Canis lupus familiaris: one gene and its partners. The protein of the gene in region 3 purifies or fractionates together with the protein of the main gene of each other region. This does not show direct contact. Links are inferred from orthologs where the notes say so. Each region holds a gene or a part of one and is shown on either strand. Other genes may lie near its edges. The genes, in order: DUSP16, DUSP8 and MAPK9.

Evidence for each region.
Region 1: the proteins of MAPK9 (region 3) and DUSP16 purify together in Homo sapiens (affinity purification with mass spectrometry; 6 studies listed by BioGRID and IntAct, with this or other methods). This does not show direct contact. The link is inferred for Canis lupus familiaris from reciprocal best matches to the Homo sapiens genes MAPK9 and DUSP16.
Region 2: the proteins of MAPK9 (region 3) and DUSP8 purify together in Homo sapiens (affinity purification with mass spectrometry; 4 studies listed by BioGRID and IntAct, with this or other methods). This does not show direct contact. The link is inferred for Canis lupus familiaris from reciprocal best matches to the Homo sapiens genes MAPK9 and DUSP8.

Annotation. Positions count from the first base shown.
Region 1 is NC_049248.1:12,344,345-12,351,885, reverse strand, and holds the end of DUSP16 (dual specificity protein phosphatase 16), read left to right. Parts: intron 1-1,193; coding exon 1,194-2,370; 3' UTR 2,371-4,959; downstream 4,960-7,541. UniProt on the Homo sapiens protein: Dual specificity protein phosphatase involved in the inactivation of MAP kinases. Dephosphorylates MAPK10 bound to ARRB2.
Region 2 is NC_049239.1:46,260,632-46,268,974, forward strand, and holds the start of DUSP8 (dual specificity protein phosphatase 8), read right to left. Parts: upstream 4,247-8,343; 5' UTR 4,161-4,246; intron 3,907-4,160; exon of another isoform or gene 3,710-3,906; intron 1-3,709. UniProt on the Homo sapiens protein: Has phosphatase activity with synthetic phosphatase substrates and negatively regulates mitogen-activated protein kinase activity, presumably by catalysing their dephosphorylation.
Region 3 is NC_049232.1:1,713,710-1,721,274, reverse strand, and holds part of MAPK9 (mitogen-activated protein kinase 9), read right to left. Parts: intron 3,542-7,565; coding exon 3,412-3,541; intron 798-3,411; coding exon 739-797; intron 561-738; exon of another isoform or gene 462-560; coding exon of another isoform or gene 424-461; intron 1-423. UniProt on the Homo sapiens protein: Serine/threonine-protein kinase involved in various processes such as cell proliferation, differentiation, migration, transformation and programmed cell death.

The DNA of each region.
Region 1 (7,541 bases), on a different chromosome or scaffold from region 3:
GGGACCCCGGATCGAGTCCCACGTCGGGCTCTCTGCGTGGAGCCTGCTTCTCCCTCTGCCTGTGTCTCTGCTACTCTCTCTCTCTGCATCTCTATGAATGAATGAATGAATGAATGAATGAATGAATGAATAAATAAATAAATAAATAAATAAATAAATAAATAAATAAATAAATAAGAAACCAGGAGAAAAGGCACTCTTAGGTCACGTTACAAGGTCTTATGAGGACTCTGCGTTTATACTTGTTTCTGGCTTTGTTCACTTGCTTTAGGTGACTTGATTTCCAAGGAGTTTGTCATTTTTCTATTTCCATATTCAAATACGAATCTTCAGTGTAGTTTCACTCCTGCATCTTGTACGGAGTGAAGGTCAGAAGCCACTGAAGAATTTGTTTACTGTCTCTAAGAGTCTGTGTTTGCACAATTAAACATAAGAGCTGTTTAGTACTGGTTTTTACCGCTCAATGATTCTTTTTTAACACAGTGGTTACAAAAATGGACCTAGACATGAGGCTTGGCTTTCAGTGACTTCGGGCACATCACATAAGGACTTTGTGTCCTTGTGTGATGGGGTTAATACAGCAACTTGACATGGGGAGTTTTGGGGACTGAATGAGATAATACTGTGGCTAATGCATTAGCCCAGTGCTTAGCACACACAGGCCACTGAGAGCTGGTTGTTCTTTCCTGTTGAATACTAAGAGAAGGAGCTCAGGTGTGTGCTTGGTGCTCTGGCCATCTGCTATCCACTTTTCTGGTCGTTAATTAATACATGAAATGTGCTGAGGAAGTGACTGGGGGGAGTTAGAAGATGTGATACTGGGGAACTGAAGCTGGAGAGTGACCGTTCCCCTGGACTCCCAGCGGTGGCACCAGCATGGGGGTGCGGGGGCTAGGCCCCAGCAGTGAGGACAGAACCCTCGCTTGTCAGTTGCATTGGAAACTTTGGGTCCTTGAAAATAAGAAGGCTAAAACTAGAGCTTTTAGGGCCTGGGCCCTGTCTTTCTAGCATTCTCCAGGGACATGTTGTATGTCTCCCTAAACTTTCAAACCAGTCCTCTTCCATAGGTATTTGGGAGGCTCTAATAATTCTCTGTCATATTTGTTCACTTAATATATTTTATTTTCATACTGTTCTTAAGATAAATTGTAGTTGCAAAATTCAGGATTTCTGTTTCTTTCCTCTCTTCATAGATTTGTGAAAGAAAAAAGACCTACCATATCTCCAAACTTCAATTTTCTGGGCCAACTCCTAGACTATGAGAAGAAGATTAAGAACCAGACTGGCACATCAGGGCCAAAGAGCAAACTCAAGCTGCTGCACCTGGAGAAGCCAAATGACCCTGTCCCTGCGGTCTCCGAGGGTGGACAGAAGGGCGAGATGTGCCTCGGTCCACCCTGTGCCAACTCTGCTACCTCAGAGGCGGCAGGCCAAAGGCCCATGCATGCTGCCAGCACACCCAGCACACAGCCCCCGCTGTTGGAGGACAGCTCTCTGGTCCAGGCGCTCAGTGGGCTCCACCTGCCCTCAGGCAAGCTGGAAGACAGCAGTAAGCTCAAGCGCTCCTTCTCTCTGGACATCAAATCTGTTTCATACTCGGCCAGTGTGGCGGCGTCCTTGCATGGCTTCTCCTCATCAGAAGACGCTCTTGAATACTACAAACCTTCCACGACTCTGGAGGGGACCAACAAGCTCTGTCAGTTCTCTCCCGTTGAGGAAGTATCAGAGCAGACCCCAGAAACCAGCCCAGATAAGGAGGAGGCCAACGTCCCCAAGAAGCCTCAGCCTGTCAGGCCCTCTGATAGCCAGAGCAAGCGATTACATGCAGTGAGAACCAGCAGTGGCAGTGCCGGCCCACGGTCCCTCATCTCCCCGCTGCACCGGAGTGGGAGCGTAGAGGACAACTGCCATACCAACTTCCTTTTTGGCCTCTCCACCAGCCAGCAGCACCTCGCCAAGTCTGCCGCTGGGCTGGGCCTCAAGGGCTGGCATTCGGATATCTTGGCTCCGCAGACCTCCACCCCTTCCCTGACCAATAGCTGGTATTTTGCCACAGAGTCCTCTCACTTCTACTCTGCCTCGGCCGTCTACGGAGGCAGTGCCAGTTACTCTGCCTACAGCTGTAGCCAGCTGCCCACCTGTAGTGACCAGGTCTACTCTGTGCGCAGGCGGCAGAAGCCAAGTGACAGAGCTGACTCGCGGCGGAGCTGGCATGAAGAGAGCCCCTTTGAAAAGCAGTTTAAACGCCGAAGCTGCCAGATGGAATTTGGAGAGGGCATCATGTCGGAGAACAGGTCTCGGGAAGAACTGGGGAAGGTGGGCAGCCAGTCTAGCTTTTCAGGCAGCATGGAAATTATTGAGGTCTCCTGAGAAGAGACACACTTGTGACTTCTGTTGACAATGTTTTTCTTGTTCACAAAAAAAAAAAAAAAAAAAAAAAATTCCCTGTAAATCTGAAATATATATATATGTACATACATATATATTTTTGGAGAATGGAGCTATGGTGTAAAAGCAAAAGATGGATCAACACAGTTCTCTCAACATCTGTACTTGAGAGATCAGCTAATATTTCTCTCAACAAAAGTGGAAGGGCAGATTGCTAGATATCCTGCTAGACAGATGAAAAATTGTATGTGGTGAATTGCACATCCTCTTGTTCTTACCGAACCTGGTTTTATTTGGTGTTGGAGGACAAAATGCCCCACAGTTTCCATGTTGTGCTACAAGAGGTCTTGAGTGCTAGTCTGTCCAGCCCCTTCCGTGGTGCACCTTAGTGCTGAGACTGAGCCAGCTCGTGGGTTGGGCGGGGAGACCCCATTAGACACACAGCCTCGTGGTAAACGCAAGGGAAATGACCACACCCAAAACGGATTCACACATTCGAGCTCAGCTGGCCGCCGAGTGATGCGGGCCCTATTCTGCTGCGCGGACCGTCAGGGGCCTTGCCCAGGCCTACTTTAGAGCAAACCCAGTACCTCAGACCAAAAGTCGGGGCTTTTACCACTACCAAGTCTGGTAGCCTTTCTTCTAGGCGTCGTGAATAGGTAGGTAGCTAGTCACACTTTTCAGACCAGTTCACACCGTCTCTGCACAAATTCCCAGTTGGGCCTGGATGGAGGTAGTTAAGTTTTTCTTCTTCTCAGCTTGATGAAGAGGGCAAACCATCTAGGATTCAATTCAACAGCCAGTGATGTGTAGCATAGGTCGGGAGGCTAACCAAGTCTACCTCCCTCCGCGTAAATCAAAGAATTGTTCAAAATGGGGTGGTTAATCCTTTAAATAAAGATTTACTTGGTTTAAGCCAGATGTGAATTTTTTCGGGTTGGTAGCAGAACAGCAGCACCATCAAGTTCTCAGCCAAAGTCGATTTTTCCCATTTCAGTTTCTTTGCACAGATACATTTTGTAAAAACCTAACAGTTAGGTAGACTTTTATAGGAAACTACCAAGAGGGAGAAAAACTCTGGAAAGATTAAAGAAGTAAAATTGCTAAGGAGAAAAGGAAACTCCTTTTTCTCCATGGTTTTATTCCCCTGAGCATGTGATGAAGGGGGGTGGGGGGGGGAGTTCTGTAATTTCCTTAGACTTTCCAATTTACTAACAGGGCTGAGAGGCTAGTTACATGAGGAGTGTTCAGAATAAAACAGTGGAGGAAGGTGAGGGGGGAAGGTGGTTAGGTTTTGTTTCGTTGTGAGCAGAGTGGGAAGCCACAACCAAGCTGTTCTCAGAAACACTCCTTGGCATTTTTTTAGTAGAAGGGACACAGCAAAATGGGGCGGGACCAAGGTGGTCTCTCGTTTCTGACCTACAATCACTATATGGAATCAATCCTGGCAGCTGAAAATAGGAATTGATTGGAACAAGTACACAAGTGATTAGTACATATCTGCTTTGAAACTTCCTGGCTTGAGTCTTGTCAGCTACAGTAGGGTCCTCTTTTTAAAGCCTTAATTCACGTCAGCAGCTTTTTTTTGAGGGGGGGGCGGGTATTGTCATTGTTCTTTACTGTAAGTGTAGCTAGTTGCTGACTCATATCTCAGGTTTTTCTGTGTTCAACAAATGGATAGTCCTTCGGCAAGGATGCGACTTCATGTTTCCCGTGATGACTGCTGAAACCAGCACAGGATGAGTGACGTGATTCAGAATGGATTTGCTCATGCTGATTCCAAGCATCGCGTAACATAACTGGTTGTATGTACACCAGTAACGTGCTGCGATCCGGGTGTGAGGTGAAGGCAGGAAGAAAGTACACCGCTTAGGGAGCTCGGTGTTACTCTATTGAAAAAGTGGTGTTAGAATGATCTGAGTTAGTTTTTCTACATAAGTTTAAATTTGGGATGAACTCAGACTTTCGCCAAGTTTTCACAGTAATTTTTTGATGTGTTATGCAGACATCAGATGTGAAGAGCTCACGTCTTCCAGGGGCTGGTCACAACAATGTAATATTTTTAAGAAATGAAAGCAATAGCTCCAGAGTTAAGTATGTCGCAGGAGGGTTGGGGGACATCCAGTATTCGGGATTTCTCCCGGCCATGGTTCCTTCCTTCCTGTGACTGTGAGGTAGTCCTGCATGACCACTTGGTCTCTGATTGCGAACGTCACATCATCAGTTCTTGGGATCGAGACGGCTGTGGCTGGGTGGCAAGTGCTGGCACTGCTGGGGTGGGGCGGCTGGCTCCCTTCAGTTCCGAGTCCTAGGGGAAGCCCTGGAGTGTACCAGAAGGATACAGAACGGTGATTTCTAAAGAGCAAGACTAGATTTCTATGTGAGAAATGCTGGACAACGATTTAGGACATTTGTAAAGTGAGGTGGACAGACTGTATAAATGTTTAATATGAATATAGCATTCTTTTGGAGTAAGATGCTATTGAATGGTTAAATCGTGCATTTCTCATTTTGATGTTCTTGTATGTTAATATGAAATAAAATCAAAACTGGTACCTGTTTATACATAAATATGAGAAAGGACCTCTCCTTGCAACTATAAACTTGGGAGAGCAGCATCCGAGTTGTAGGAGGTGGTGGTGGTGGAACGGGTCCTGCTGTCCTCACGTCACAGAGGACTTAGGCCAGAGTAAGGTGCTGAGGGCAGCAGATACAGTGTGTGCTCCATCAATCACACGAAACACCGGATCCTTAGCCAGCAGGTCAGTGCGGGCCTTCGTGCTTAAGTGCGTCTACCAAATGCACACTACAGTACAGAACCTGGGCACGTACGTGGGACTACTCGCTGACTGACCGAATGGAGAATAAGTGCAGGGTAGGAAGGAGGAAGACCAGAGGCACATTCATGGTGCATCATGATGGAATATGTAAATGGCTTCAGAATTCTTACAGGAAAAGTGGGGTGGGCAGTCCTTGTTCTCGTCCCTGCCACGTACATCTTGATGACCTCTCTGCTTATAAATGACACTGCACGGGACAACTTAGGAGACTAGTAGCTTAGTCTCATCAAAGAATTTTATGCATCAGGAATAAAGTTTTTACCTTCATAAATAAATATGCTTCATAATAAAGCATATTACCTTGGAATGACGAGAGAATCATTGAGGGTGTCATTTAAATCGGTTGGGACAGGTTTCTGAGTAGAAGTTAAATTTTAAAAATTTAAAGGCAAGAAGGATTGTACTGGGTGAGCAAAGACTGGAGGAGCTGCCTTGGCCAGGATTTTGCAAAGAATGGGAGGCGCGCAGGAGATGGAAGTTTAAAGGGGTGTCGAATCTTCCAGCTTCCGGAGATGGATGGGGTGGTGTGTGGGAGCAGGTGTGTCAGGGAGAGTCTTCAGATGAGAGGGTGCAGATCTTGGGAAGCCCCGAAGGTCATGCCAGTTACAATTGAAGTGCACAGGTTTGGGGGTCTCAGCAGTCGGGGCAGGCTAGTGTCAGAGGACTAGTTTGGGTCTGACAAGGAAAATTAGCACAGGGCTCAGGCTAAGGGGAGGTGAGGAAGGCAGGAGCGGCCAGGGGGGCTGTGCTGCGATTAGGGGACTGGAACTTTTTGCCCTCAAAGCCTTCGCTGTCATTTTAAATACTGTCTGGTTATGCTTTCTGACACCACGCAGAGATGTTTTAGATCTAGTAAAATTTGTCTAGGTGCTGTTCTCTGAACTTACTCCCCTGGATCTATAAATGGAAGAGGGAAGTGAGTTATTTCTAGCATTCCGTGGGGCCCATTCATCCTCGTACCGCATAATTATCCTCGGTTAGATCTTTAAGGTAATTGCAAAAGCAACTGGGAAATTACATCACTGTCTTGGCAGATGTTTACAAGTCAATCCTGTTGCTGCGGTGTCTGTGCCCCGGCGTCCAGTCAGGTTTATGTAAAACCCAGTTCCAACCCTTTAGCTCCAGCTGGGTCCCCAGGAACTGCAGACCGTGACCTCGCAGGAGCGTGTGGCGGGCACAGGGCCCGGCTGGCGGAGGGCGGAGGGCGGAGGGCGAGCCCCGCTATGCCCTGGGCGCGCTCTGCTCAAGGGAGTCGCGATGGTTTCAAAGGCTCAAGTTCAAGTGCTTGGTGCACCAACGCTTTGAGCGTGAATCCCGCTCACTGTGTAATAAAAACCAAGGCGAGTGGTAGGACTCTGCCTTGGCTGGTGAAGAAGTCGGAGTCTGAATCCCATCAGGTCTCACATGGACACGGATAACCCAGCACAACGCTCCTCAGAGTAGGGGACGCCCAGGGGCCCGCCACGGGGGGGGGGGGGGGGGGGCTGGTTGGACTAGTAAGCAACTAGGTCTAGTTGCCACAGATTTCGAGATTTGGTTTGAGGCGGGTGAGTGATGAAGTTACCTGGTCCCCCTCCCCTCTGTAGCGGGTCATTTGAAAGGGAGCCACGTGCCCGTGCGTGTGCAAGAAATTCCGTGCTCCTCACTATGAACGTGTGAACAGCGATGACCTCTCCGAGGGGCCACAGTAAGCTCCTAACGGAGGGCTGAGTGGGCAGGGGGGAGAGGAAGCCAATTATTTCTCTTGGCGTTAAAAACGTTTTACACCCCAACATCCCCCAAGAAGAAAAACTGTCACTTCAAAATACCTTTCAGTCTTTAGTATTGATACTTTAAAAGTTGTTTCCTACTGAGTACTGTGTATCTGCGCTTAGCTGGGGTATGAACGAGTAGGGAAGACATTTCGCTCACCCTAGAGTGCTCACACATGCTCACTCACAGCTCACACATGCTCACTCACAGCTCTCATTTCTGAAGATCGCGGTGTTGCCTCGGGACTTGCTGAGGGAAATGCCCAAGCTAGGGAAGTTCTACAAATGCACGGAAGCCTGCGCGCACGACGTCCCCGAGGGCTGTTGCTTTATGGAGCCTTGGGAACAGCATGTTCGCGATACCCAGCGTGTACCTTTTCCATAGGTCAGTGGGAAAAGCACAGAAATGCCTAGAGGAGATTTTAACAAACCCAAAGCCCCAGCGTGTTCCTGGAGTGCACTCCTGTGTCTCAGGGTATCGAGTCCTCAACATTCCCAATACTGACTGTGCAGAGGACAGATGACGTTCCTAAGAATGACGAACTTGAAGGGAAACAAAGAC
Region 2 (8,343 bases), on a different chromosome or scaffold from region 3:
TCACCAGCTGGGGAGGTCCTGCCTGTTGGTGGAGGGGAGTCCCACCTGCCAGAGGGTGCTCATCTGCTGAGGGGTCCCTGATTCAATTCCTGAATGAACTGTTCTGAGTTCTAACCCGTGTCTGTGGTGTGGCAGACAGGCCACAGCTAGCAGAACCCTCTCCACATCCCCCACAAGCCTCTTGGATGTGTGACTAGGAGCCCAGCTCCAAGGCCGGTCCCTGAGACAGCTACCTGCAGCGGGGCAGAGGGGCACTCAGTGTCCTCATCCTTCAGGTGAGGGACAGATCGTTTCCACCTGAAGCAACAAATGCCAGAGGCAGGGACAAGGGAAGGGGCTAGGAGAGATCCTCTGCCCTCCCTGCAGCCACTGGGCGCAAACACTGCCCTCAGGTCCTTAACTGGACAGGAGAGGAGTTGGGGTGGGGAGGGGTGCACCCTCCACAGATGGGAATCCAGGCTGTAGGACAGGCAGGGAGGCAGGCTCAAGAGGGGAGGAGGGTAGGGATGAGCCCAGCCAGGCTGCAGGGCTCCAGGACAGGGGCAGGGGGCTGGAAGGGTGGGCAGCGAGGTTCCAGGGCCCGGTACCTGGTCTCAGCCCCACCTCCCCCAAGGAACTCTGCAGCTCAGCCATATTAACCGCTATAGTATTGTTATTTGCAGCCGAGGGGGACTCATTAGCAAGTTAGCACCTCCGTCGTTGCCATGGCAACCACAGAGGTGCCAGGCAACCACCGCTCCTGCGGCACAGCCACAGAGCCGGCTGGCTCTGCAGGACGGCAGGGCCCACCCCTTGCTTCCTGCAGGTGCCCAGTAGCTGGGACCTGGGATAACCCTGGGCCAAGTCCACATAAGCCCCAAAGCCCAGGTGTGACATTCCTTCAGTACCCCCACCAACCCCACCCCTGCTCAGCCTGGTCCTAACCTTCCTTGCCTTGGGCACCTGTGCGCACAGCCCCCCTCACTCCCACCTCCGGGGAAGCCTTCTCCAAGTGGCCAAGGTCTGGCCGGAGTGCACTTCCTGCACGAGACCTCTTGCCCTGAGCGGGCATCCTGGGAGTGCATCCTCACCCACGGGGACTCCAGGAGCCTAAAGCTCCTGGGATAGGCCCTTGCCTGCAGTGGGATGGATCTGGGCCCAGAGCTCCAGTAGGGCTAGGGAAGCTTAGGACAGTCTTGAGCAGATGAGTGGGGCTAGAACAGGCCTGGTGGGCACAGAGAAAACAGATATTGTCTCAGTCCTCTCTGACTTCAGGGACCCTCTCCAGGCTCAATCCAGAACCCATTCTTGGGAACTGAGGGGAAACAGTATCCATCACCTGCTATTCTAGAGTCTCGGTGCCGGTGGGATGGAGGCACAACTACAGACACCCCCATCAAAGGGTTCGTGGCTAGGGAGACTTGGCAGTTCCGAAGACTGGAGGCCCCTCCCCACCAGGCTGGGCACCACCCAGCAGGCGGCAAGCAGCTCCCCTTGCCCTGCAAGGCCACATACACAGGGCAGCCTGTGCTGTGACATGCCCTTCTGCACCCTGTCTGAACCCTGTCTGCTCACCTCTTTCCCACAAGCCACCCCATCCCCTCATGCAACTACTCACAAGGCAGACATGTGTGCTGGTACATGTGGCCACTGGGTGCACTCATCCTCACCCTCTGGGGGCCAAATCCCCTCAAATCCCAGGACACTCAAACCCCAGGGGCCAGCCCCACGATCTCTCTACATTGTTGGCTCTCAGGGCCTCCATGGGGCACATCTTTGTCCCTGAGCAAGGGACATGCGTGGCCTAAAAACTCCCAATGGATAGCATCTTCACCAAGGCCTTCTGCTCAGCACCTACTGACGGGGAACTCACTACCTCCAGAGACAACGGTCAGGACTGTCAGCCATGGGTGGGCCTTGGTGTCTCCAGCCCGAGTGGTGCCTGGCACTCATAGGTAGACCCTCGAGAAGAGCTGGCAGGGGGCCCCCACTATGCTGCGATGTCCAGCTCACTGTGACCCAGGGGTACCTCTGGAGTCAAAAACTGCTGCACAATGAAGCCAGGAGATAGGCTGGTAGATAGCTCTCACCCACTCAGCTCATTTTTCCCCTCCTCTGCTTTCATCAGGGACCCCTAGATGCTCTCACTCCTGCCCCCTCATCTCCCTGGGCTGCAGGGAACAGGACCCAAGTTGGCCTTTACCTGGTCCCAGAGGGACTGATAGCAAGGCCAAGTAGGGCTGACTTGGTGTGGAGGCCATGGGCCTGGGAGACAATGGGGTGGGGCCCTGCCCCCTCAGTTCACAGGGGTCTGGGTAGAGCTTGCAGTAGGTCTCAGCGTGTGGGTCCCTCAGGACCCTACAGATCTAGGTTTCCTCTGTTCCTGCCTGGCTTGTGCTAGCCCTACTGACCTGCAGGACTCTGGTCACTGTCCCCCCATGCTACACATGTGGGCCATTCCGGGATATCTATGGTCATTGCCTGGAGCGGTCCAGGCAGAAGTGGACTCAGCCTGTGCAGTTCTGGTGGTCAGAGTCTGACCCATGTCCCTCTTGCCATGGTTTGGCTCCTTCATCTGCTTTCCCTCTGAGCTGCACCCTCTGGAGATGCAGCCAGGATACCCCCTGGCTTCCAAGGCCCCTTGGGCCCTCTGTCCGTGCAGCAGAAACATCTGGGCTCCAAGGTCAGCCTCAGCTGGAGAGGAGAGGATGCTGGGTAGGTTTCTGGAGCAGAGGATGCCTTCAAGCATCCTTCTGCATCCATTGCATGGAAGCCTTCGTTCCTGGAGGCAGCCTCGGGGGCACAGGAGCCCTCCCAAGGGCTGAGGGCAGCAGGGGGGGAACGGGGTGGGGGTTGTTGGGAACTAGAACCTGCCCAGCAGCTCTCCCGGAGCCCTTGGCTGACTGCAGCAGGAGGTATTCAGGATGAACTCCCAGCTCCTAGTCACATGATCTGTCCTACCGGGCAGGTGCTTATTAAGCATCTGAGGAGTGAATTCCTGGGACATCTGTCCTCCCTGAGCAGGAGGTGGGGGGGGGGGGGTGTACTGGATGCTACACTCATTTCCTGAGCTGCCCTCCCAGCAAGAAGGTCTGAGGGAGGCAGAGGGCAGTGTCTGGACCCACAGACCTCCGCTCAGACTCCCAGGGGCAGGGGGCACAGCAGAATGCTGCTCCCCTGATCTGCAGCACCCCCACCTCCACCCCAGGCTGCACCATGACACTTTGGGCATCACCGTAGACCCTGCCACTTCTCTCCTCTGCCGCATGGACTGCCCCTTGCACCCCGCAATCACTGAAGCACCCAGGCCCCCAACTCCCCCCTGCAGAAGCCAGTCCATTTTTGCAGTGGGAAGTCAGGAGGCAAATTCTCCCAGTCGCGGTGACCTGATGGGAGCTGGGCCCATTGTGGCCCCCTCCCTTCAAGGCCAGACACTGGGGTACCCCTCCCCACCAAGGTGGGCAGATAGGCTGAGGCAGGCTGCTTGCACTCAGCCTGGCAGTGCCAGCCCCTCCCCCAGCACCCGCTGCTGCCTCTGCAGCAGGCTGGCGGATGGTCTTTATTCTGCAGAGGCCAGCTGAGCACCCTGAGGTGGGGGTACCGGTGGCGGCCTGAACACACAGGGGACAGGGGTCTGCAGCTCCTCCCCACCGAGCTCGGAATGGGCCCTTTCCTAAGCCTCCCACAGGCCCAAACCCTCCGCTCCTTTGGTCAGGGCCTGCATCCCTACCCTGCGGGGGCAGGAACGACCGTCCGATCTGGGGCCTCCCTGGTGCGGTGGGGGGCAGCCTGGGAAGTCTGGGGCTCTAGGCTGAGGTCCGTACAGGTCTGCGCAGAGGGCCCAGGTCCGGGGTGCTTACTGCATGCCCTTCCCCCCACAAAATAAGAAAGAATTTCGAGGAGAAAGGCGGCGAAGCGGGGGTTGGCGGGGGCAGCGCGGACCGGGCCGGGGGTCCGCTGGGCGCCGTGGGAGGCGGGGGAAGGGCTTCCCGGGCCGGCCCGCCGCGTCCCCCTGAACCGGGCCTCTTCCCTCCGGCCCGCCGCCGCCGCCGCCGCCGCCGCCTCTTCCCGGGCGCCCGCCGGGTGCAGCCGCCCCAGCGCTCCCGCCGTTGCGCCCACCGGACCGGCTCCCCGCCCGCGCCCCGCGTGTCCCCGCGCCCCCGCTCGGCGCCCCCGCTCACCTCGCCGCTGCTCGCGTCCGGGGCGCACGGGGACCGGCGCCGCCCATGGGCCCGGCGGGGGCCCGCGCAGCCGGGGCAGGGGCCGGGGGAGCGCGCGGGCCTCGTCGCCGTCGCCGCCGTCGCCGCCGCCGCCGCGGGGAGCGCTCGCTCGGGCCGGGGCGCGCGCACTGCGGGCGGGCACGCGCGCTCGCGGCGCGCATCCCACCCCGGGCTCGGCGGGCGCGGCCGGTGCGGCTCCGGCGCGGCTCGGGCTCCGGCGTCCGGGCGGGGGGCGCGGAGCCGGCTGGGCCGCCGCGCTCGGCCGCGAGTGACAGGCCCGGGGCGGAGGGCGGGGCTGCCGGCGGGGATGAGGTCATGCCGAGCGAAAAAGGCCCTGACGTCACCTGCAGCCAATCAGCGCGCGCAGCTCCAGGGCAGGTGACGTCAGCCGGAGCCCGGCCGCGGGTGCAGATCAGAGGCGGCGGCCGCGGGGGGCAGGAGCGGGGCGGGGGGGGGGGGGGGCGAGCGGGCCTCCGCCCTCCGCCCTCTGCCCTCCGCCCCTCGCCCGGGCACCGGCTCTTAAAGGCGCCGCACAGCGTCCCTCCCGCGCCGCCGGGGCCCCCGCCTCCGGGAAGCCTTCCCAGCCCCGGCGCCGAGCCCACAGCCGGGGACGCCGGGCGTCGCGGCACTCACGCCCGAGGAGGGGCCGGCCGAACGGGTCCTGGCGCGAGGGTCCCTCCCCCCTCCCCCGCCGCGGCCGGAGCTGGCGCCGCCTCCCCCGGCCCACAGCCTTTGTTTGCGCGGGGCCTGCGGGCCGGGGACCCCGCGGCGAGCTGGGCCCGGCGAGCACCTCACCTGCGGCACCTACGCCGGCGCCTCCACGACCCCGGGGCTGGGAACCTGGGTTTCCACTGCGCTGGGCAGCAGATGGGGAGCTCGGAGGCGGGATGGCTCGTGTGGGGTCACACACCTCCTGGAGTCCGGCGAGGGGGTCCCCAGTGCAGCGCTGACCCCTGGCCCCACCGGGTCACCTCTGGCCCCTGGTGCTTCCAGGGAGAACAGCGCTCATGGGGTGCACCCTGCGTGTTCTCCTCCCCTCCCCACACAAAGAAGGCTGTTGAGGGTCTGTCCCCGCCCCCCCCCCCCACCCCCCACGGTGGGGAAAGTCGCGCTGGAGGCCAGGGTGCAGGGAGTCCAGAGGGCGCGTTGGGGGTGGGGGGACCTAGGTAATTACCCCTTGAGCAGGGTTGGGCCGGAAACAAGGTGGTGGGCCGTCTGGAGGCCACCCCAGGAGGTGGCATGCAAGCAATGGCTGGAGGCTGTGGAGGCACCCTGGGTGCAGGAGGGACCCCCCCCTCACTCCCCCCACCCCCATCCCCCAACCCCGCCCTAGGCAGGAAAGACCTGAACCCTCCCTAGACCTGGGGGCAGTCAGGGAGCTAGGACCAGGAGACCCAGGAGGATACACATCTCCAGGTTCATCCAGTCCTTACTGAGCACCTTCTGGGGCCAGGCCCTGTGCTGGGCACTGGGGAGTTAGTTCTGAGATGGAGGACAAAGATCCTTGCCAGGGAGTTGACAGTTGATGGGAGCCTTCAAAGGTAATTATTTTTGAGGGAGGGGGAAGGTGTGACCAGACACCACAGCTGTTTCTAACCAGCCCCCCCCCACCCCCACCCAAGGCTGCCTGCTGGAGAGTGAGGGCCATCTTTCCTCCAGCCTGGAGCCCCCTAGCCTTGGCAAGTCTCCCAGGGCCACCCTGGGGCTCTGAAAGGCGCTTTGGCCTTCAGGAAGTGCAGCTCCTTCCCACAAAGGGAGGGAGCCTGGGACCACTTTTGGCATCCCTGGTTGAATGAAGGGTCACAGAAAATGAAGCAGGTGCAACTGGCTTGGGCCAAGATGAGCCCTCAGGACCCAGAGCACTGTGTGGGCGTGCAGGAGGGCATCACTGCAGGAGGGCGCTGGGGGTGGGTGTCTGGAGGGCCCCTTTGCTGATCCTCATTCCTGTTCCTGAGAGAGCAGGCTGGGCCTCTTGCAGCCTCAGAGCTTTACAGAGTAGGTGTTTAGCAAGGGCCTGAGGCCTCCTTCCTGGCTGGCCTGAGGAATGTGGGGGTAGCTGTGTGTGTAGGGGGAGAGCGTGTTCCTGGCAAAGAGCCAGCACCAGGGACAAACAATCACCTGGGCCTGACCTGGAAGGACGCACTGGTAACCCAGGGGCTATTTGGGGCTGGAGCTGGGGTGGCTTCAGGTCCTTCCTCTTTCTCTGCCCTTAGCCAGAATCCTCTGGAATCTGCTGAGAAGAGAGGTCTTCCAGAGGCCTGATCCTGAGCTGTGGGGAATGTCCAACCCAGATGCATGGCCAGGTCAGTGCTGCGTGGGGGATGCAGTGGGGCCTTGCTGTGTTTGGGCTCACTCCAAGTCTGAAAAGTGCTGGGCCCTGGGAGGGGACAGGAGGACTCAGGCTGAGCCTCAGATGGGGCCAGATGGCTGGAGGGGACACATGAGGCCCCTGGAGAGCATGGAAAGGTCCAGAAGGTCTGGGACTGGCAGGACATGGGAGGTTGTCAGTCTTGAGATTGATGAGCTGGGCTTGCTCCGAGGCTAGACCCAGGATGAGCCCAGTTGAGGAGGAAGGCAGAAGGTGTCCAAGGGGGCTCCTCTTCTGCCCGGCCCAGATGTGGTCAGGCGAGTGCCAATGGCTCCAAAGAACTCCGGTTGTGCCCTGGGCAGCTCCTAGCTAGGCCTGAGCAGGTGGCAGTAAACTGAGGAGCAGGCGATGGTGTCCTCTCTTCCTTCTGGAAACTCTAGTAGGTGAGTGGATGGGGGTGGCCTCTAGCTTTTCGGGACTGTTGCTGGCGAGGGAAGTATGTTTGGGCCACGATTACTTGACAATCTTGTCATTTCTCGTGCAAAGGAGCATTTAAAACCTGGACTTTTGCAACAGTGGGGCAGTGGGTAGGGAGATACTGTGACTCTCCAAAGCCGCTAGCCCTGCCCTAGGTTCTTTCCAGGCCCCGGGGCTGAATTCTGGCTCCTCCCGCTGGGCTCCCCCAGAGGGCCGGCCTCCTGGGCGCTGAGACGCCGGCGTCTAGGAGACGTGGAGCGGCAGGGACGGCTTGGGGAAGCCTGCGCGGGGTCCACAGTGGCCGCCGTGTCAGGCGGGGCCAGGTCCAAGCCCGGCGGCCCTCTGGGCCCTGGCTCCCCGCGGGAGATCGCCGCCCCGGGGCCCGCGCCCCCAGCTGTGGAGCAGGATCTGCAGGCGCCGGGCAGCGTCCGGGGCGACCGCGCTCGGGGCCCAGCAGGTGCAGGTGCGGGCGCAGCCGGACGGTCCGTGCGCGCCCTCTGCCGCCCGCCTGCGCCCGACCCGCCGCGGGGAAGACGCTCGGGGTGGACTTTCCTTCACGCAGCCTCCTCTCGGCAAAAAGAAAAGCAAGGTCCACTTCTTCTCGATGGTTTGCAACTCCGCGTCTCAGCCAATGACTCACAGTAAACGTGTGTCCGTGACATTACTCTTCCCACAACCCGACTTTCTCTGAGTCCTCATTGTTAACAATATTGGTAACAGTGCACGTCTCAGCGGGTGGGCTCTGCAGGCACCTGTCATCGCTATCCGCCCAAGGCCTAGAGCATTCCCCTCACCCCAGGAAGGTCCCTCACCCTCTCCAGCCAGTTGTCCCCTCACCTCCTCACCCGGCACCCAGTTCACAGAGATGGAAGCCAGCGGTGTTAATTATTTTTTGTTGGCTGCTCCCACTCCAGGAAGTGCTTTTGAGATTTCATCCAGGGTCCTGCTCTCCCACAACCAGGTGATAAATGCCTGTGCAGTGTTGCATCTTATGGATGTATGGTGAGACTCGAATGGATTTTCTCTATTTATATGGCCGATGATTTCCGTATTTTGGCTACTACAACGCAGTGAGCAGCATCCTTCTTTATGTTTTTCACAATACATTAAACATTATTTTATTCCCTGGGTTTTAATCATGATATTTGAAGAAAACTGACAAACACAGAGGATGGTATAACAAACGCCTAGCTCCTAGACCCAACCGTGTTGGCAGTTTCCTGGGTTTGCTTCAGATTAGAAAAAAACAACAGTCCCCTTGCTGGTGGCTCCCTGGGTCTCTCCTGTCCTGTGTCCACGTCCAGAGGCAGCTGTTGCTCAGACTGGTGGATGTCTTCCTGCTTCTGTCTTTATCACTGA
Region 3 (7,565 bases):
CCCTGCTTACAATCTCAACCTGACTTCCAAGTCCCAGCACTTCTGATTCCCTAAACCCAGTTCTGCTTCTTCCAGAGTATGTGCTAAGTCCTTATGAGCATCATTTCCTGACTTTTGTTGGTTATTTTTCTTCTCTCTCTCAGAGCTCTAAAAGTGAGTATGACTACATGCAATTTTTAATAATAAAAGGGATTTTTGCCTGTTTTGTTCCCTCAAGTAAGTCCAAGAGAGTGCCTAGCACATGAGTGGCAATCAAATATTTGTTGAATGAACACACCAGTAAGTTTAGCATTAGTTGTGCATTATACCTCAATACGATAAATTAATATTTTATTGCTAGTAAGATAATTCTGTTTCAGATTTTGGAAACACATAACATTTAATGATGTAACGATTTCAAATAATAATTATAAACCCTCAAACCCTGTAATCCTGGCTTTCAGGAGGCTGGAGAAAAACATTTCATATTTCAGCAAAGCAAATGGGCAGCATTAATGGTCACTGTTTGCTCTGAAGAATTATTTTCAATCATCCTTTCTCTGTTAGGGAGATGATAATATCTAGGTACAAACAGTTGAATATTATTATTTATCTTCCTTACTATTTCTCCTCCACAGAAAAAAGTGGCTAAATATATTGCTACCTACATTTCCTAAATAAAAAAAAAAGCAGTTACTTTCTTTTCTAAATATTTAGTCTTTGATACATAGTGTATTACTGAGTAAAAACGATACTTACACATCTTGAAATTCTTCTAGAGTCTTTTGTGGTGTAAACACATTTAACAAACTAATTATCTGAAAAGAGAAGGTTTATTATACCTCAGCACATCAGGTAACTCTAACTCTACATAATTATAAAAATTAACATGAAAATGTATTAAAACTGAAAAACAAAGCATAGCAGAGCTCAGTATTTATTATTAGTTTTACCAAAACATCCTGTTACATGGTATATGAGAAAAGTTAAATGATTAGGATTCTTATCCTGGAAATAAGATGTGCTTTTAATCACATCACATTTTATGTGTCTCTAGTATCTTATTATGACAGAATTTTAACACATAATGTCATTCGGGCTCTGAACATAAAAAAGTAGAAATTACGGGCAAAAAAATATGAAAGCAATATGTTAACTCTGAAAACTGAAATACTATCTACAAATTTCTAAACTTTTGAAATATGAAGCTTGTATTTTTAGAATGATGAAGATGAATCCCTCACAGTATTATGTATTTACTTAAGAGAGTTCTAGAAAGACCTTTACCACAAGACATTGGTCCTGGTACCACAACAGTTAAACAGTGAGTCCCACTGCTTGAGAATCACACATGTCCTCTATCATTTTAAATGACCAAGGGAAAGATGAATGATTGAGTAGATAGGATTGGGGTGGCTGGCTGACCGAGTGCAAAATAAAACCAAATCCATACTTTGATCTTCACATCAACTCAAAATGGAACAAAGATTTAAATGTAAACCACGAAACCACAAAATATTAAAATGTGGATAAACATTTATGTAATCCTGGTGAAGAACCGCCTTTTCTAAGCATGATAGGAAACCAAGGACATGTGTTGTGTTAAACCCAAACCAAGACCAACAAACCAAAAAAAAAAAAAAAAAAAAAAAAATTTTGGTATGGCAAAAGCAACCTAAATGAGTTGAAATGGAAAAGAAGTGAGGGTTGATAGCTTTAATATACAAAGATCCTCTATAAATGCATAAGAAAGAGAAAAACAGCCCAAGAGAAAAATTGCCAAAGGCCATGGGAAACAAGTTCTTTAACAATAAATGGCTTAAAAAGTATGGAAAGAAATTAACCTCACAAGTAAGAATAAAATATCATTTGTCATTTCTCAGGTTGGTAAAGTACAACAACAAAAAAATGTATAATATGTACATAGTCCTGAGGGGATTCTGAAATAAAACACATTCTTTGATATTCTTTTTTTCCCTCAGATAATCTTAATGAAAGTGCAAAACTTTCATTAACTTTTCATTGACAGTCTTCCTTGAGGTCAATTTGTCAGCATATATTAAAATTAGAAATGTGCAGTATATGCTCTGGCTAAGAAGTTCACCTGGACAGGTGTGCAAAGATGCATGTATAAGGATGTTTATTGCAGCATTGGTTATAATAGCAAAAACTGGAAGCAATCTAAAAACCAGTAACAGGTGACTGGCTAAATAAATTATTGTGTATTAATAATAGTACACTATGTAATGTATTTGAGGTCCAGAAACATTCCTAAGGGAAAAGGCAGGACTCACAGTAACATAGCTGATTGTGCTCATGTACATATGATACATGTGTAAGAATGCTCACCAAAACGTTAATGGTAGGGTTCTGAGGGATTCAATGATTTTTGCCTTGTTTATTTTATTTGAATTTAAAAAATAATAATCATAGTTTCATGTAACCTGAAAAAAATTTTAATGTATAAAAATAAAGTATGCATTGGAGAAATTAAAAACAAATTCAAACCACAGACTCAAAAGAATAAACCTATCTTAGTTTTGTACATAATGTTCCTGTACCATAAAGATCCAGCATAAACGCTAAAACAAAGGGAGTCACGTAGAATTGAGTGTAGTCTTGAATACTCATCCCCCACAACAAAAAAAGGGGTCACAAGGGGTGATCTCCAAAGCCCCTTCCAGACATTACATTTTATGATTTTTATAACATGGCAAGGTTATCAGAATCATGCTCTGAGACCAGTAGTGGACATACAATGTGCCTGAGTACCTCATTTTCTGAAGACATACAATTTCTCCTCGAAATTTACAGTGCTTTGATTTCTGTGGAGATGTCAAGTACAGCTATCTTGAATACCACACCATCTACTCACATTTATTTAGAAATGAAACTTCCATCATACAAAGTAAAAAGTCACTTTGTAGAACAATGTTTTTCTAAGAAATTATCTAGGTGTTTCTCAGTTTGTTAGGTCAATATTATTGCCATTTTATAGTAACAGAAATAGTGAAAGTCAAATGATGCAGGGTTAATTGATATTGCTATCAGACCTAGACTGAACCATGATGCTTCTGGCTGACTTCAATTCCCCCAATGCTGATTAAGAATTATGTCAATAAGGGGCACCTGGGTGGCTCAGGCGGTTAAGTATCTACCTTTGACTCAGGTCATGATCCCAGGATGGAGCCCTACATCGGACTCCCTGCTGAGTGGGGAGTCGGCTTCTGCCTCTGCCCCTCACCTCACTCATGCTCTCTCTCTCTCTCAAATAAATAAAATTAAAAAATTTTTGTCAATAAAATAGAACCATTTAAATAGTTACTGTTATTACTAGTTTACTTGAGTTCTGAACTCAAGGTATTTCCAAAGACCCACAAGATTACCATATTGTTGACCATATTATCAGAGGAAAACATAGACATAACTTACATTTTTATGATTGACACATTTTAAGAGGACGAGTTCACGGTAAGCTCTCTTTGCATGAGTCTGATTCTGAAAAGGACGACTCAGTTTCTTGACTGCAACATTTATCCCAAGAACTGTATCAAAAGCGGCACTGTAATCAGGAAATATAATAAGGAACCCATTAGGATGATTCTGGAAAAGACTGCAGTGCACGGTCTTTGTTCAATGTATTCTCTTTTTGGTCTTTGTTCAATGTATTCTCTTTTTGACTAAGTAACAAATAAGGAAATACCTTTCAGCTTGTTTCCACTTAGGGTACCTCTACACACCAAGAGCAAGGCAAGGGGGCTAAGAGGGTAGAATGGACTGACTCCTTTGCAGAAGCACGAACATGCCAGCTGCAGTTAGGAGGCACACTGACTTCTCATTATATTGGTTGACATTATTGTATTTGGAAACAAGTAATTCAATACAAAGCATGTAAGACCAGTCAAGAAATGAAGTCTTCAGTTTAAATATGCCAATAAATTGAAACAGTCACTGGATATCACAGAATAAAATATAAATATATTCTGGCATATCACGGTGGAGGAGAGGGTTGAGCTCATGAGAAGAATATTATGAGAAGCTTTGTTTGTGTTTTTCCCCAGACAAAAGAATCTAAAAGAAAACAGAAGCCAGCATCTCAGCTCGTGGTAAAATCCCTAAGATACAAAACCCCTAATGTAAGCAATTACTATATATAAAATCCTGCTAGAAATAACTCCTTGTACCATTATAGTATGAATAAAATCTTGCAGAGGCTGTGTTTCTGGCATCTCAAGTTCCCAGCTGAAAGCCATGGTTCCTTTTTCTTCCAGAAAATAGGAAAAATTGAGTAGCCTGATTGTACATTCTGTACAAATTAGTACTAATGGCACTCCTGGTGCTATTATTACCCTTCAGCTACTCATCAGAGGCCAAAAGCTGCTAAGGACCACCTAAGAACCGAAGCATCATTTAAACTATGATGCTTCGCTCATAGTTTACCCAGGGGGGCGCCTGGGAGGCTCAGTCAGTTAAGCATCTGCCTTCCACTCTGGTTGTGATCCCAGGGTCCTGGGATCGAGCCCTGAGTTGGGCTCCCTGCTGTTGGGGGAATCTGCTTCTCCCTCTCCCTCTGCCCCTCCCCCCGTTTGCACCTTCCCTCATGCTGACTCCCTCAAATAAATAAAATCTTAAAAAATATATTATTTCTATGTATTTATTTTATTCAGTTTGTAACACTGTTTTCACTTATTCATTTCTATTAGTGTTTTTCTGCCAACAATCCTCAGGTCAATCTTTTTTAAATCGAAGGCTAGAGATCATGTTACTTTGTAATTATTTCTAATTCAGGTCACATTATGTGTACATGTATACACATATGTAAATCTTCATGCTCATATGAAAATGCACCATTCATACAAATTATAAAATGTTAATGATAAATCTACTTGTGCAACAATTAATATACATGTGTACTTGTACCTATATTTATCAGTCTTAAAATGTGACAACAGTTACACCTTTTTTGATCTCAAAAGTTTTTGTTCAAAATGAGCCAAATGGGCAGACGTGTACAGACACCTATTTCCACTACTAGTGCCAATCCTTGGAAAAACCACCTTCAATTACTTCTGGTTTGAATTCTTGTGCTCACTCCTCAACTCCAAATATACTTTTATCATTATTTTCTCATTTATCAGTTTCAGAAATTGTCTATCTACTCCCCCAAAACTAAAGATTTAGTCACTTTACTTGAAACCCCGAACTCCTCCCAGCTTTTTGCTCTCATGTTATTTTAAACTTTTCCCTTGGTTACCTTTATAACTCCAAACAATGTGCCTAAACTTCTTGTTCTATCAACTTTCAAGGGAACCTCAGGACCTCCAGTATGTAAGATGAGGCCATCACAGTCCATCTCTTTGGCCTTCAGCACGCTCTGCTCTCTTTCCCTTCCTCCAAACTCTGTCTCAAATAGTCAAGCCAGAGAACATATCTCCTTACTCTACAACTAAGTCTTCTGGGCTTGTTTTGGATGTGTCCAAAAGTTGAAAACCAAGACAAAGAGACTATGTATGCAGGCACATGTCAAAGTTCCTAATTGCAGAGCTGAGATGACATTTCATTTTCTAAGGATCACATGACCCTCATTGCCACTCACAAGAGAATGAGACGACTTCTGGCATCAGTCAAATGGATTTTCTTTTCTTATTCTTTTCAATTCCATCAGTTGTTCAAACATCATGTCCTTTTAAAGCTGTTTGACATGTGGACCATGACTTTCTAGCTTTTCCACCACAAGTTCCTAACGAAGGATTGTTCTTATTAAAAGAAAGGGAGCCTGGGTAGCTCAGTTGGTTAAGCATCTGCCTTCCTCTCTCTCAGGTGAGGATCCCAAGGTCCTCAGCAGGGAACCTGCTTCTCCCTCTCCTCCCTGCTCTTGCTCTCTCTCTCTCTCAAATAAAAGTTGGGGGGGTGGGGAGAAGAAAAATACCCCTTTCTGAAGGCTATCCCCAGTACTTTCTACCTTCTCACTCACATATTGTTTGGGGTCTATTCCATTCTTGAAGATATTTTTTTCTTGCAATTTCTTTCAAGACCTGCTGCACAGCTTCATCCCTGGAATTTTTTTCACTGGCCCCCATGTTTCTGGTCATACATGTTCTCATATTCTCTTTCTTGGTAGAATACATACATCCTCAAGGAATTTCCTCAGAAAAAGTGTATGGAAGATAAATGATCTTATTTTGCTCTCAGCCTTGACTGATGGTTTGTCTTCTGACTTCACATTCAATTTTCTCTGAGAACTCCACAGATTTCCAACATTGAGTACTGGTGATATTCATTCCTCAACTTCCTGTCCTGTTCCTCAGCTTAATGATTTATCACAAAGAGCCATGTTTTGTTGGCATCACTCCAATAACCCCCACAACATCTACTAATCACTATCCCTCCTGTCCCTCAAAGATGACAGGAGGGATACTTCTGACTACATCTGACTTTTATGATAATCACTTCCTTGCTTCAACCAGCTAAACATGAATTTTCAAGCTCCCTCTCCCCACCTCCCATGGCTTATTTTTGCCTAGTTTTTGAAATTTGACTTCTTTCACTCAACATTACATTTGTGAGACTCGTCTGTTGTTGTGTGTAGCTATTCTGTGTCATTGCTATAATATGCCTTTGCATGGCTATATGACATAATGTTGATAGACACTTTGGTTGTTTTCAGTTTGCAAGCGATTACAAAAAACATGGTCATAAATGTTCTCACACAGGGCTCTGAGTCCCCTATGCATGCATTTCTGATAAGTACATAGCTAAGGATGAGACTGTATATATTTTAGTAGATAATGTCAAACCACTGTCAAAGTGGTTCATTCTACCAATTTCTAGACATTTGATTTTTACGTATATTGACCCATGTCCTACAACAAGGCTAAGCATACTCTCATGAAATTAAGAAACAGGAGCTGGGGCTAATCTAATGACAAGAGCCCTTTAGAAGCAGAGTTTGTTCTGGCTGCTGGGAAGAGGAGAAAGTCTGAGATTTTTTATCGTGAGAAGGGTTAGACGGACCACTGCAGCCTAGAAGATGGGGGGGGGGGCGGCATTGTAAGAAGGAATGTGGGAGGCTCTAAAAGTGTGGTGGCCCTTGGCTGACAGAGAGCAAGGGATGGAGACCTCAGACTTACAGCTGCAAGGAACTGGGTCCTGTGACTGTGCTTGGAAGCACATTCTTTCTCAGAGCCTCCAGATGAGAGTGCAGCCCAGCCAACATCTTGATGTCAATTTGGTGAGATATTGAGCAAAAACTTGGGCAAGCCCATGCAGATTTCTGACCTATAGTACTATGATATTATAAATGGCTGTTTTTTTTCTTTAAACACCAAGTTTGTGGTAATTTATTATGCAGCACTAGAAAACTAATACATCTGCTCTTCTGTAGTTTTCTATACTTTTGTCTCTTTGGGCTTCATCCTGGAATTTTTTCCTGATCCATTTTTCAGATTGATAAATCTCTCTTCAGTTATATGGTCTGCCTTAATTTCCTTAATTATGGAAATAATTATTGCCTTAATTATGGTCCCTTAATTTCATAATTTGATTTCTTATCTTACAGTTCTAGAGTTTCTATTTAGTTCTCTTTT